Linked DNA regions of Saccharomyces cerevisiae S288C. The gene in region 3 interacts genetically with the main gene of each other region. Each region holds a gene or a part of one and is shown on either strand. Other genes may lie near its edges.

Region 1 (4,586 bases), on a different chromosome or scaffold from region 3:
AAAATCCACATTGTCTACAGTAAAAGTATACCACTAATAGATTTGTAATTGGTGTATGAAGTAGTGTATGGTATAAACGTTAATAAGTGCTTATCAAAGTATTACCCGCTTTAACAGTTTTTGTGTTTTTTTCAAGAAAAATATTATATGTATGAATATAGAACATGAGTTTATATGGAGAAAGTGTCTCGACAGCTTTTAAAGTCCCGAAAGGACTAATATCGAATAAAAGTTGCATCCATTAATATACCAATAAATAAAGGGAAAGATGTCCCTGGAAGAATTTGACGAAGTTAAATATGATCATTCAACTAAACGCCTAGATACACCATCAAGGTACCTGCTGCGCAAGGCTAGAAGAAACCCTAACGGGCTACAAGAACTGCGTGAGTCGATGAAGTCATCCACAATTTATGTAGGAAATCTTTCCTTTTATACATCAGAAGAACAAATTTACGAATTATTCAGTAAATGTGGCACAATAAAAAGAATAATTATGGGTTTGGACCGTTTTAAGTTCACGCCATGTGGCTTCTGTTTTATTATATATAGTTGTCCAGATGAAGCATTGAATGCCTTAAAATATTTGTCCGATACAAAGTTAGACGAAAAGACAATTACCATTGATCTAGATCCTGGTTTTGAAGATGGAAGACAGTTTGGTCGTGGTAAGAGCGGTGGTCAAGTCAGCGATGAATTGAGGTTCGATTTTGATGCATCCAGAGGTGGCTTCGCCATTCCATTTGCAGAGCGTGTCGGCGTACCACATTCCAGATTTGATAACAGTAGCTCACAATCTAATACGAATAATTATATCCCTCCTCCTGATGCAATGGGTACTTTCAGACCAGGTTTCGATGAAGAAAGAGAAGATGATAACTACGTACCTCAGTAGAATCAATCAATTTATATCTGAGAAAGATTCTACACACAGATATATATATATATATATATATTATTGTATATATACATACCTACATTATTTTTAAAGGCTTGCATGATGCTGTTATGTAAAAAAAAAAAAAAAAAATCAGTGTAACATAATAGACGTAACACGTTCAATGACATGATAATACTATATATAGTAACGATAAAATGTAAATGGTAATAGATATAATTATATGAATATTTAAGTAATGCATTGATAAGTGATCAATTCATATCAGGGTTGGATAGCTTTTTCAATTCTTCCAGCCTATCAATTAGTTTTTTACGGCGTGTAACGGGGGCATGAGCAAATCTCTTGGATAATTCATAATCCGTGGAGCAGGTTGACGTAGCATCGTACATAGTATTATTTGTGGCAGATAATGTGTTATGATATGCTGAGACGTTTTGAACTCGTTCCACTGGGGTATTATTCGCGTTGTCATTAGGAATTGAGTTTACCAGGGTATAGTAATCACTAAATATTTTGCGTCTTCTCACATTTATGAACCAATTAGAAAGTTGAATCTTGGTTAGCCCAGTTTTGATTAACAACTCCCTCTTTTCTTGTTGAGTTGGGTAGGGGTTATTCAGGTGGTTCAGCAACCAAGTATTCAGTATCTGCACTGTTTCCTTTGGCAGGTTAGACCTCCTGCCCGAATTTTGCTTCCTCCTTGATTTAGATTCTACAAAATCCGAAAATGGCCTGTTGTATTGTGCCCCCGCATCCTTTTCCTTATTGATTATTTCATATATTGGGGCGGATTTGTAGCAGGGCTTTGCATCATCGGACGCCGATTTTGACTTCTTTGAACTGCCATATTGAGATTGTGTATCCATAGCACTGCTACTCGTCTTGGACGTTTCAACTGTAGAAGCAGTAGGAGTAGCAGTAGTACTAGTACCGCCAGAATTAATTGCGGGATACGCAATCGAATGATGCTGTGGAAGTAACACAGGCGCAGGATAGTTTTGTTCCTCGGTACTAGACCGAAGGTTCCCATGCGAGTATTCTATGTTCGAAAATGCCAACTCGGGCATACTCCGTTTTTCTATGGAGTTAAATAGAACTTGGATAGGGGGTAGACTGACTTGATTGTCAACATTCTTACTGTTCCTGTTTTGTATTTCGCAGTTATAATTCATCTTCGAATGTAACTATTCTCGAAGGTTGTTAGCATAAAAGTAGGGGCTCGGCAAGTAGCGATCAGTAGCACTGGATAGGCGTGGTATCGCTTGAAAACAAGGGTGGGAAGATCAACTAAAAAATTGTATTAGTATATATCTTGACCAATTTAACATAATCTTACCAATTAACAGAAACAGGAGGCATTAAGAGACAAGAAAACGCCGGGCGCGACGAAATCAGTCATAGAAAATTAATCATTAATATATACACGCTGTAAGAAAACAAAAGGACAAAAATTAATTACCAAAAGAAAAAAACAAACTACAGCTTGATGTACATGAATAAATTAAGGTTCAACAAAAGAGAAAAGCTGAGAGACGTAAGATGGCAGAAATGACCCGTTCCCACAGAAAGAAATCTGAATCCGAAGAAGGAAGTAATACGCGCGTGAGCGGATAAGGTTTCTTATCTAGCCAATCACAAAAATCAACAGTAGTAATTCTCGTGGGATTCTTTTGTGTCTCTTAAAATTGCCCTTTACGTACAGTCTTCGTCCATTATCAGGACGATTTGACAGAAAATGAGCGAGATCAGAAATATACCGCTACCGATCATGAGTGCTCAGAAAACCCCGTGGATAACCCAACGGTCCGAAAGTGACAGTTTTTTCTTTTGCCGCTTTACTTTTTTTGCGTCTTAAAGGGCTGTGGCTCCTCTGCGCCTGCGCCAGAGTAGCGGTAGGGTTCTTACTTCGGGCAACGCCGACTCTGGGTGCATTCGCCAGTGTGAGGAAGCACGCTGCTTGTGCTTGTTGGAAGTGTGGACTAGGTCAAGCCCGCCGGACACTAGGAAACACGCACAAAATTCTCAGGCACTAAATAGGCCAGAAGCAAAAAGCCGTCGGTAGTGCTCCTTTTCTCTGTTGCCGTTAACGGTCAGGTCTGTTAAGACACATAACGAAAAGCATATGTATAATAGGCACCGACATTTGTGCGGCATATTCTGTGCTTAGTTTGCAGTACAAGACGAGCTTCGGAGGCATACTACTTTAATCATATTTGCTCACTTTTAAGTTGCTCACTTTCTAATACGTGCATTCCTTTACAAGCTTACTAACACATTGGCTTGGCACTTAAAACACTAATGAAACGTGTTTAAGGGGCCCGACAATATTGCTATTATGTCGCTCTCAACAGCTTGTTTGCGAATTTTAAATTTGATAGCTCCCTCTTTCTCCTCCTCTACCGTTCGACATGACTAAAAGGCGTTGGCACGATTTTCTTTGATGCTAATGTAATCAAGTCAAGTATGGGTTGCTTTGACGATCCAGATGCAGAAGTCAAAGTTACGAGTCAAAACCTACGAGACTAGACATATCTCTGCAGATGAAAAGGCCTGTTCTATAAAAAAAAAATCACTGTTAAAGTTCAGACAGAAGCTTATTTCAAGGAAAGCACTGTGATTGATTTATTCACTATCGAGTTTCTACAGGTGTTGAAGTTCATATATTTGCACGTGCTCGTAGCTCTTTTCTTCCTTTTTGAGACATAAAAATATGGAATATCTTGGCACCCGTTACAAGCCGTCTCTAAAAATATACATGGCGTACATAATAATCTCCAGCTGATTCAAATATCCCGCGCTTTTCCCGTGGTAAATACTGTGTGTCCTATTAGGCTTTCTCTTGGCATTTCACTTCTTAACCTCTAAGGTATTCAAGGGGCGGAGGTGTAATAAAAACAAGAAAAAAAAAAAAAAGAGGAAATTTGTGGCAATCTTCCTAATATAACTATGTTGAAATGTGTGTACTAACACCTTATACTATCTATATCCTTTGTCTAAACAGCTCTGCCGATAAAAAAATTCCCCGCGGAGATGTCCATACTGACTAATAAAATTGTCCCGCACAGGCAAAAAGCAACTTTAAATGCATGGGCTCCTAATCTTAGAATTAAACGTATTTAGTCTTCCTAGGCAAGAAATCTACAAGTCATAGGAGTATATGTTGTGTATACTATAGTTGATTGCCTGCATAAATCGATGTGTAATTTTCTTTCAACCGATAACTAAAATTCGTTCGTGTTTATTCCATGAAGGTTTTTATTCTCAAGAAAATAGCGTGCTGTATTTTGTAAAATTGTGCCGAGTGTGTTAGCTTGAACCTGCACAGAGCTCCAGTCCTTGATTGCAATAGTGTCCCTGATTTCAGGGAACGTCCATGAACGAAGTGGGTCACCTTTGTCGACCCAGAGTTTTGGCCCGAAGATAACGTTCTTGTAAAAGGTTCTATCCATTAACCCTTCCTCCAAACATTGGGTAACGCCTATTAGGGAAAGTAGGTAGTTCCATGACCAACGATTAATGGCAATGATAGTGGGTTCTATATATGTACCGGCTCCATACATAAGCTCTGTCCATTCGCTTTTCCATTTTTCGAACTGCAGTTTAGTGTTTTCCCACAATGTTGTGCCCAAAAAGACTTCGTCAAAGTTTACCGTATCAGGACATTCTTTTTGGAGGTCTTTTAACG
Region 2 (4,767 bases), on a different chromosome or scaffold from region 3:
TCTAATGTAAAGACCTCTTCATCTTTTTTTGCCTTATTTTCTACTTTTTTGGAACCGTCTAATACACCTTCAGTGGACTCACGTTTCTCCACCAACTTAGATTGAAGAGACCCCTCCACTGGTTCAACTTTCGATGACTCAGGTATAGATATTTGTGCTTCCGGAGTTGGTAATGGTTCGGGCTCATTTATTAACGGAGTAACCGCTTCCACTTGAGGAGTAAGTTCCTGCACATTATGAGCCACTTCCTTGGTCTCAACAATCGGGTCGTCAGCTTGTGGAAGAGCAGGACTCTTTTCCGTAACTGATGATTCAACAATAGGGCCAGCAACGGGTTCTGGAACCTCTTCTTTTTTGTTAAGTCTTTCATTCAATTCCCTAGCATCAACGTCTCTAATTTCGGTAAATTCCTTGATTTCACCAGGGTTTGGGACAAGAACAGGACCTGGTCCACCAATTATACCATTTGATTGAGTTGTGTCTGCACTTTGATCGATTGGCAGAATATGGAAATTGCCCGGAGCTTCTTTGGAAACATTAGTAGGCTCCGCCAATGGAGTTTCTTCCCTAGAGGTTCCAGTAACATCTTCAGTAGTAGTTCCAGTCACCCCGTCTTCTTCTTCATTATCGTCTAAACTTTCATTTGACTTCTTGTTGTTCTTAGTACTCTTTTTCTTCAATTTAGATCTTCTTTTCTTATTGTTACGCTTGTTTTTCTTTCTATTACTTGTAGAAGGAGGACCTGCTGAACGAGGCGGTTTACCACATAATAGGCCACCTGCCTCCGGGATTCTACTGGCACCGGCAACTTCCTGCGTTTCAACTAAATCGGTAATTTGTAAGAAATTGTTTTCGATTCCTTCACTAACATGCTCCTTTTTATACGAATCACTAACGCACCAAACGCCATCCACAATAAACTTAAACTGAAACGTATCATCCTTGTTGGCTAGCTTCACGGGCATAGTAATTTCGAAATTTCCCTTGGCGGTCTTCACGAGGGGTAAAGTGCCCCTCCAGTCATCAAACGTTCCTGTTAAAATAACATCTTTTGGACCAGCAGGCCAGCTAAAAGTATAGTTGAACATGAGTTCACTACTCATTTTTATTGATAGATTAGTTTTCTTAGTGATTTTTGTATCTTTTATTTTGTAAGTACAAAAAACGTATCAGAAAATGATAAAACCTTGTTCAAATCCTTGTTTGTATTGTTTACCAGGCGATGAGATCGGGTTTCAACAATTTTAGCAACGCCACTTTTCCTAACGGGTAACACACCAAGATAAATGGCGTCAGAGCGTCTTTTTTATGCACAGAAAAACCAGTAGAACACATTAATTAATATTATAACTACATAGCATTTACTTGGGTTGAAATGGTGAAACCTTACCTGGAACTGCTTATTGAAGCATAGAAATAGGTGCACAGTGGAACCCAAAAAGTTTATCGGCAACTTTACCTTCAGTGTCTTGATAATAAGGCAAACGCTAGGGTCAATTGAAGAAGAATTTCTGTTAGGTAAATTAATAGTGTCATTGGTATTAGTAGAATATTACCCGTCGAAATAGAACCAACTATCGTCTATCGACTAATATTCATACTGCTAGTATATTATTATATCCAGTGTAAGAAGATGACTTTAAGATTGAAAAATAATCTTCATAATTTAATGGAAGCTGAAACGCAAAGATTGATAATGCAATAGGATGACGAATGACGACATAAAAAACGGAAGAAGAAATACCAGTAACATTATGTAGAATAGGAATTTCCTTTATCAATAGTCGGATCATAACGGTTGCATTAAAATTTGGGATATTGGTGAATAATTTGATAATTTTTGGCATTCTGTAATTGATAAAGCTATAACATCAAATACAGAATATATAAAAGTGTTGGAATAAAAATCAACTATCATCTACTAACTAGTATTTACGTTACTAGTATATTATCATATACGGTGTTAGAAGATGACGCAAATGATGAGAAATAGTCATCTAAATTAGTGGAAGCTGAAACGCAAGGATTGATAATGTAATAGGATCAATGAATATTAACATATAAAATGATGATAATAATATTTATAGAATTGTGTAGAATTGCAGATTCCCTTTTATGGATTCCTAAATCCTCGAGGAGAACTTCTAGTACATTCTACATACCTAATATTATTGCCTTATTAAAAATGGAATCCCAACAATTATCTCAAAATTCACCCACTCTTCAAAAAGACATTCTCCTCAAGAAATCCACAAAAAGGAATCAACAGTTACGCATAATAATATTTCTTTTCCTTCCTTCTTCTTCATATTTTGCCATTCTCCATCCAGTTGCATCTTTAAGATGCTCCCGTCTCTTTTTATGCCTACATAGTTTAATTCTTTATTTAGAACACCAACAGATACATGGGCGTGTGGTCTAGTGGTATGATTCTCGCTTTGGGCGACTTCCTGCCTAAACAGGAAGACAAAGCATGCGAGAGGCCCTGGGTTCAATTCCCAGCTCGCCCCATTATAATTTTTTCACTTTTTTGTTCTTTGCAAGAACGCGCGGTACGCAGTTATGAGATGATGTAGGCAATCTCGAGAATTGAAACTTCTGCATTACCATAGAATTCAACATCTTTTTTTGGCACATTAAAGGTGTGAATGCTACACTAATCAATATAACACGATTATGTTAATTGGTGTAAGTGGTACGAAATTTTGCGGATGCGAAGATGTTATTAACATGTTGGTTGATCATTTTCATTTTGAATTACTCAATCACCTAGATAATCCAGAGGAGATATTAGATTATGCTACGAAAAATTACACAAAAAATTCAGTTATATTCCTAGAAAAATTATCATTACTGGAGAAACTGGAAAAGAGACCATTTTTTGTTCATCTTTCTATCGACGCTCCTGTCACTACAAGGGTAGCATTATACAGGAAAACGACTCAAGCAGAAAGCTTATCATTAGAACAAATAATACAAGCCATTGATCAACATGACTTTCAGCCTGAAGGCATCAAATTAAGGGAGAAATCCCATTTGAGATTTAAAATAGTTAATGAGGACCGCAGAGGAAGGAGACAGAGCTTGATTAATAACATTACCACACAATTAAAGATTCTCGATGACAAAGAGAAACAAATGGCTCCATTAATGAGGCCTAGTTGGGATAGCTATTTTATGAAGTTAGCCACACTAGCAGCATCTCGTTCCAATTGCATGAAACGTAGAGTTGGTTGCGTGATTGTGAGAGAATGCAGAGTGATTGCTACTGGCTATAATGGGACTCCTCGACATTTAACAAATTGTTTCAATGGCGGTTGCCCACGTTGCAATGACGGTGATTCTAGAAATCTGCACACTTGCTTATGCTTACATGCAGAAGAGAATGCACTACTGGAAGCTGGCAGGGATCGTGTAGGTCAAAATGCGACCTTATACTGTGATACTTGCCCTTGCTTAACATGTTCTGTAAAGATTGTTCAAACAGGCATCAGTGAAGTAGTTTATAGCCAAAGTTATAGAATGGACGAGGAAAGTTTCAAGGTCTTGAAGAATGCGGGAATAACCGTCCGGCAATTCAGCTTTACGGAAGAACCAAGAATTGTGATGATTTAATTCATAAGTTCCTTTTCAGTTCGAACTAATGTAACATATATATAAAATACTACATTTAAAAAAAATACAGTACATTGTACAAACTAAAATCACTATAAATAGCGAATACTTTTCTTATATACTATTATTATTATACATTTGTATACACCTTTTTTCATTAATATAATCTCTAAGTGATATACGTTTTCCCTTAAAAAAACATAAAGAATTTGCTGGAAGAAAAGTGCTGCATAAACTTAAATCAAGCACAAGTTTATATATTGCAAAAACCTTGGAAAACCTAGGTTCTTTATTTCGTATTATTCTGCCCCGGTAACCCATTATGGTTTTCAGTCTCTCCATTCATCTAGCTTCAAATTGAACCAATCTCTTAGTCCTAGCCTTCAACAGGATTCTATGACCACAGTCCTTACAACGGACTGCATCAGTTCTGGATAAAGATAATTTACTAGAACATTCAGCACAAATATACTTCAAAGTTGCCGTTCTAGCTTGAGAAGTACCTGCAGCTGCGGCGTCTAAATTTGTTGGAATCTGGAACCCTTCGCGAGACATTGTTATACTTGTGGACTTTTATTCTTGGGTACGTTCTTATTAAATGTTGGTAGAATAAGTCGATGATGTGGAATACTCTTCACTTTTCTGATTCTAAAATCTATTTTAGATGTTAAAGAAATGAAAAAAAAAAAAAAAAAAATTAAAATTCAGAAAAATCATATTCTACGACCGCAGCGTTATATAACGTTACATCGGTGAGGCTAATTGTAGCCTTACCTGGTAATGTACAATGTCGTGGTCATGAGACAAATGTCAAATAGGAAGATGCAATGGAGAACAAATTTGACACACATGATTGAATCATTAAATCTACGGCAATATTTTGTTCTTATTTAGTGTCTCTTTCTCCATATCACTGCTCATATCAGGAAAAACTGTAGATTCTGACAATGTACTCGCCGGAACATTTTGATATATATAGGTGATGTAATTTCCATATGAAAAATACTAAAGACTTGTGATGAATTCATGAAATGAGTGGGGAAGAATCAGTATCCTTAGTAAGAGGTAACTAATAAAATTAAGTTATAGTATACACATTGTATATAATAGTTGAAACTACAAAATGAAAAGATCATGAGAAAAAAACAAAAT
Region 3 (6,068 bases):
CGAAAAATCTGCTGCAAATTGCTACCTCTTTCATCATTCTAAAGTAAGTCCTTCTCTTATTCCTAGATGTTCGAGCAATACCAATTAAACTTGGCACGATGCGTGCAATTAAGAGTAATCGGGCACTGCACTCCGACTGGAGTCCGACGAATATCGTAGTGATCTTTTTTATCTACAGTACTGGTTGCTTATATCTTCCAGTGTATATATTCAATGTGGGAAGGAGGGAAAGGTCATTTTGCTAATTTTCATTTTTTCTCGCCTTTTAAAGCATGAGAAGAAAAGTTGACCATGTGTGCCAAAAAAAAAAAAGGTAGGGCTACCATCCTAATTAGAGTAATTTAAGGAATTTATTAAAATGCAATGTTAACTTTTTATAGAGTGCGTAAATAACTATGTAATGGTAAATACATGGCATACAGTATATGCGTGTTTACCACCATATATACGTGTATACTTATATTTTGTCTGCCGTTATATATAGCCAAGACCTTTTTCCTTCATGGGTTGTTCAACTTTCCACGGTAAAATCGGACATAATCAGACCATATCTTATTCATGGAAATTCGTTTCTTTTTCAAATACTGCAGGTCCTTATCACTGCACCATCTACAAGATGCAAATTTTCTTTCCAAAACAGCATACCTTTCATCTTCCTTGCGTTGCTGCTGAGCCAGGATTTCCACGTATTCCTTGGCATTGAGCTTCATGCCTTCTTTGTTTCTTAAATTGGTAATGCATAATCCGATGGTAGATTGCGTTTGTAACGACGAGCGATTGATGCGATGAGTACCCTCTGTGACAGAGAGTACGGGAACAAAACTTTGTAAGGCTTCTTTATCCAGATATATTTCACTTGGCTTTGTTTGCTGTTCAGGCAGTACATTTTTTTTGCTTGAATTTTTAGACAGTATCTTTCTACTTGACGTTCTTTTAGGAACATTAATCTTACCTTCTTCGCGTAGTGGAGAGATGTCGTCTGTTGATGATTCTGGAAGAGATGTTGATGCTCGATTAAATGTACTCACGCCATCTATTGAAACTCGATCATTTTCTTTTGAGACTGGCGTTGTCGGATGTCCTCCCACGGTTGATAAAGAGGAAAACGACAATTCTGTAGGCCCCGTAGTCACCATAGATTTGGGTGATAAAGTGAGAATTTCCTTACTATTATTACTGTCGCTCAATATTCTAGTAAAACCTCTCTTTATCTTAGAACCTAGAGATGTCTTTCTGTAGACGTGTTCTGTGTCATTTGGAGTGGACACTAAGACCTCCTCCGAAGCTCGACTGCTATTCGCAAACTTGCTGTCCGAATTGAGGCGCGAATAAAGCTTCGAGCACGAAAGCTGCCTCCTAGGTAGTTTATTATCAATAGTGGAAGATCGTCGAATTAGCATGGGCTGCCGAGCATTTAGATCTGACTCAAATGTTGAGGATGTCGATAAAGTAGGTGTATTTGTTCTGGTTAAATTGGAGCAATTTTTGGCAGATGTCTTTCTTAATAGGGCACTAGATGCTCTTCTCAAAAAAGGCATTTTCTTTTCTCCCCCTGTCAGTCCGGATTCAGACTGAAACGTAACAGGCGTTTGAGTGTTTGATACTGGTGTAGGTAAGTTATGAAAGTGTAAGGCGATATTGTTCTCAGCTGGTGCTACCTTGGCGTACTGGTTCGAAATTTGGGTGCTTAAGGGTGGCAATTTCTGAAGACGATCTTCAAAAGTCACCGTATTCTTCCTACTCCTGTTACTCTTCCTTGATAACTTTCTTTCTACAGAATTAATATTTTGAGGCAGTCCTGAAATGATCGTATCTCTCAGTGTAGATGCCAGTGCACTAGAATTAGATCTGCTTCTTTCTCTCAAAGGTGCATTGTTCTGTTGCTGTTCACGGACAGAGGAAGGTAAAACAGGAATTGGAGTTATTATTTTCTTGGGATCATATTGCATTGTTGCCCCGTGATCCGACGTAGAGGAGGACGAAGTCGTGTTTGCTTCACGTTCTGCGCTTTCAGGAGATGATAAATTTGGTTTCAGAGTGGAATTGCTTACCGGTGTCCTTGAACGTCTTCCCTCAGAACCGGAACTATTAATAATATTAGAAATATTTGAATGGCTAGTCATCTCTAGAGCTTTAGAAAGATCAAATGACGTCTGATTGTCAAGAATAGTAGCGCTTAATTGCGAATCGTCGTTTGTCGACGCATCGTGGCCATGAGTCATGACAACAAACCCCTGATCTTCACCCGTAGCATCTCGAGTAGAGTTCGCTAACTTTGTTAACACGTCATCTGGTTCTAGCCTTGAAGAGTGGCTGATGTCATCTCGTTCAAAAATAGCCTCGTTGATATCAAATTGTGGAGTGATTTCCATTTCTCCTGTGTGAGGTAAAGGTGGTAACAAAGCCAATTCTTCTTTACTGTTACCTTTATCGCTGAGAACGCCCAGTTCCTCATGCAAATTAGGAGCTGATAAAGAAATATTAGTATTTGATTTTTCTATTTCGTGTAACATGTCCAAGTTATCGCGCAAATCAATATTGGATGAAGATGAGGACGTAGAGGAGATCCTCCCCAAAACACGAGGAGATGAACGATCCACTTGGGTGAGTTCGTCATCGTTTGTTTCCTCCTCCTTAATATTTTGCAAATGCGTAGTAACTGTTGTTGAGCTCGATGTTGGTGTGGCGCTCTTGGGCATCGTAGGCAGGGTAGTACCGTTATACACAGTGACTCTATTAGAGCCAGAGTTCCTGAATCTAGGTGGCGAACTATCTTGGTGTTCCATGACAAACTTTTGTGAACTTTTTTTTTATTTCTTTTCTTTTTTCTTCTCAAAGAAAAGACCAAATATCGATTCTAAATAGGTATCAATAAGTTATAATAATGTATTGGAAATTATTTCTTAAAAAACAGGATTTTAAATTGGATATATAAATAAGATAATGTTTTGATAATGAATGGGGTATAATGGTACGATAAGTCTTTTATGACTCGCAAAATTCACAGCGTTGTTCGATAAACCGGGCAAAGTATGGGCATATAGGCGTATGGAAAGAAAATTATGGGAAAAAGTACAGTATTTTGGTTTTCTTTTTCTTTATAGAAACAAAAACACTGTGTGTGGAAATTAGGGAGTAGAATGCGTGTGGCAGATGGTAAGCTTTTCAAATCGGACTGTGAATATATATTCAATTTAAAGAAGCAAACTTTATGAGTGGGCAGTTTTTGAAGTCATTCCATTCCATTCTATATCAGCAAGTTTTCTTGGCGAGATCCGAAATCCGAAAAACATGAGATCGTATTAAATGATATAATGTAAGGCTCGTTAAAACATATATGAGCTAACTATACCGTGCTATGTTATATTTTGCATTTTTATTATTGCTGTTATTTTATATAGGTTTTATGCCCAATATATATCGCCGTTTTTAATGGTTAGATTTTTTCTTTTTGTCCTGCTCTTGCTGCTCTTGCTTTTCTTGTTCGATTTGGGTGACGTACTGGTTAATTTCCTCACTGCTCAACGCAACAATATCTGAGTCCGGCTTAACAACAGTGATTTCAATATTTTTTGCACCTGTTTGAACTACCTCCAACAGAGATCTTACAGTAAGTTTGACACATTCTTCCACTGTGGCTGGTGGTTCTTTGCGATCGTAATTCTTCTCCAAAAACTCACGTACCGTCTTGGAGTTTCTCCCAATGGTCTGAGCGGACCACGAAGAGTATATACCACTTGGCTCGGTCTGGTAAAGCTTGGGTTCATCATCTCTCGGGTCGAAGCCGGCAATCAGCGTCGACACACCAAATGGTCTAACACCTCCTGACTGCGTGTACCTTTGTTGCACACCAGCGACATAACGTGTGAGATACTCCACCGTCACGGGATCCTCCAACGTTAGTCTGTGACTTTGGGCCTCCACTCTAGCCTTCTCGATAAGAATTCTGGAATCTGCATTTAAACCAGAAAATGACAACACCACATGCGAGTCAATTTTGGAAACTTTGGAAGGCGTAATTCTAGTGTCTTGCAGCTTCAAAGTAGACCTTCTTTCGCAGCCCAATACTACACAATTCTTACCCTTGACACCTACAGCACAGGTACCCCTCTTTACCGCCTCCAGGGCGTACTCCACTTGGAAAATGTGTCCATCTGGGGAGAAAATGGACAAAGCTCTATCGTAACCACTCATTTTGTGTAATTGTGTTTATGCAACTGATCCTGATGAACTGCTGAGCACTAACTTGAAGGTTTTGCTACCACCTATATATGATGTCTTTTCTTTCCCTTCCGGTGGCAAAAGAATCTTCGAAAAGATTAAGAAATACCGTTGCCCGGATGATATTCTTACCCATAGTAATGGTCCTTAAAGCTTTAATCGTCAATGAACAAGGGCACACAGCACACTAGGTCTCAATTCATTTCCAAATATTCAAAGAAAGCGACGTGAGTATTTTATTTAAGTACTAGGTACGCAATTGATGGGATATTCAACTTATATGATTTGATGAAATACATGGGGTCCTTCCTGAGGAAAGCGGCTACAACAAATTTATTCAATAGCATAAAAAAAAGGAAGGTACAAAACAGAGCCATGTCATAGAGCAAAGAAAGAGCACACATAATATTCTAACCAGTAAAACAATCGGTTTGAATTTTGAAGATGAAGAAGTATATTTATATATAATTTCTTCCCTTTTTTTTTTATTTTTTTTTTGAAACAATGCATTAAACCATTACTTATATTATTTATATGTATAAATAGATATTAAATCATGGATTTAAACTTGAAAAGGATTAGGAAAAAAAGAGTATGGTCGCCGTAAAAAAGAGGAAAGGGTTTATTTTTGCGCCCTTCCCTCTATAACTTCCAAGATATGATATAACGAGATTGCACAAATTTACTCAACCTTAGTCGAATAAACCGAAACCCATGTCGTCGTCAGATTCTTCAGCGGCTTCTTCTTCCTTTTCTTCTTCAGCAGCAGCATCACCAGAGGCAGCAGCAGCACCGCCAGCAGAAGCTGGACCAGCAGCTGGAACAGCAGCCAACTTTTCGTTACCTTCAGTAATTAATTCGTCAACAGACTTACCTTCCAAAGCGGACAAAACGGAGGAAACCTTTTCGTCTTCGATTTCGATACCGACGGATTCCAAAATAGCCTTAATCTTGGTGGCATCTGGGGTGTTACCAGCAGCGTTCAATAATAGGTAAGCAGCTAAGTACTTCATTTTTGTATGATTGGTTCTGTTGTTGTGTATGAATTTCCAATGAGAAAAAAATCACTAAAATAATAGAAAAAGCTTTTGAATAAACGGAAGTAGAAATTACCAGAAGTAACAATTGAAAAACCTCGAATAATAACGGCTCTCCGCTACTAGGTTAACTAAACTTCAAGCGGGTATCAACGCTTTGGAGTTCCATGCAAAATGTTTCACGTTTCGCGCGTCTTCCGCATATCGTCCGGTATAGTCTCTCCCCTGGTATTCCCCTCGGCTGCCATGAGTTACAGCCTCAAAACAGGTACAAAACTTTTTTAATCCGTACACCGCGCGTATAAATCAATGTTATGTCTGGGCGTATAGTCCCGGAAACCGTGTTGGGCGGCAGTTCCGCCCAACACGGGCCTAGACACTTAGAGGGAGCGTCCTCCTAGAACCGATTTTCGTTTCTCTTTGGAAGGTCTCTTCCGTCCGTTTCACTCGGAGTAGGTTCTCTGAGAAACTCCTTGCTGGGAAGCTGCGAGACAACACCGTAATCGTCTGCTTGGCCCTTCCTATCCGCAATCAATTTATTCCTTTTTAATCTTTTGTGCAGAGTTTCACATTATGGTATGGTCTCTTCTTTTATTTGTTCTTGGATTTCATTTTTTTCTTATTTGTTAGTGCTTATCCTTACATTGTAGAATAAGACGAACTAGAAGTACACAACAAGATAATCACGACCGATCATGTCTCAAGCTGTTAATGCCAAGAAGAGAGTTTTTAAGACCCACTCTTACAGAGGTGTCGATTTGGAAAAATTGTTGGAAATGTCCACTGAAGATTTCGTCAAGTTGGCCCCAG

What was found. A genetic interaction does not mean that the proteins touch.
Region 1: mutations in YOL036W (region 3) and CUP9 together harm fitness more than expected from each alone (negative genetic interaction), as found in Saccharomyces cerevisiae (one large-scale study listed by BioGRID).
Region 2: mutations in YOL036W (region 3) and DCD1 together harm fitness more than expected from each alone (negative genetic interaction), as found in Saccharomyces cerevisiae (one large-scale study listed by BioGRID).

What each region holds. Positions count from the first base shown.
Region 1 is NC_001148.4:211,890-216,475, forward strand, and holds CUP9 (Cup9p), read right to left. Parts: upstream 2,074-4,586; coding exon 1,153-2,073; downstream 1-1,152. Other genes in the region: nuclear cap-binding protein subunit CBC2, read left to right, coding at 269-895; TRE1 (Tre1p), read right to left, coding at 4,123-4,586. UniProt on the Saccharomyces cerevisiae protein: Probable DNA-binding protein which plays a role in protecting yeast cells against copper toxicity. May regulate the expression of important copper homeostatic genes.
Region 2 is NC_001140.6:386,636-391,402, reverse strand, and holds DCD1 (deoxycytidine monophosphate deaminase), read left to right. Parts: upstream 1-2,676; coding exon 2,677-3,615; downstream 3,616-4,767. Other genes in the region: CRP1 (Crp1p), read right to left, coding at 1-1,103; DNA-directed RNA polymerase core subunit RPC10, read right to left, coding at 3,958-4,170. UniProt on the Saccharomyces cerevisiae protein: Catalyzes the hydrolytic deamination of dCMP to yield dUMP, the nucleotide substrate for thymidylate synthetase.
Region 3 is NC_001147.6:253,463-259,530, reverse strand, and holds YOL036W (uncharacterized protein), read right to left. Parts: upstream 2,787-6,068; coding exon 501-2,786; downstream 1-500. Other genes in the region: PRE6 (proteasome core particle subunit alpha 4), read right to left, coding at 3,430-4,194; YOL038C-A (uncharacterized protein), read left to right, coding at 4,510-4,605; ribosomal protein P2 RPP2A, read right to left, coding at 4,914-5,234; 40S ribosomal protein uS19 RPS15, read left to right, coding at 5,954-6,068.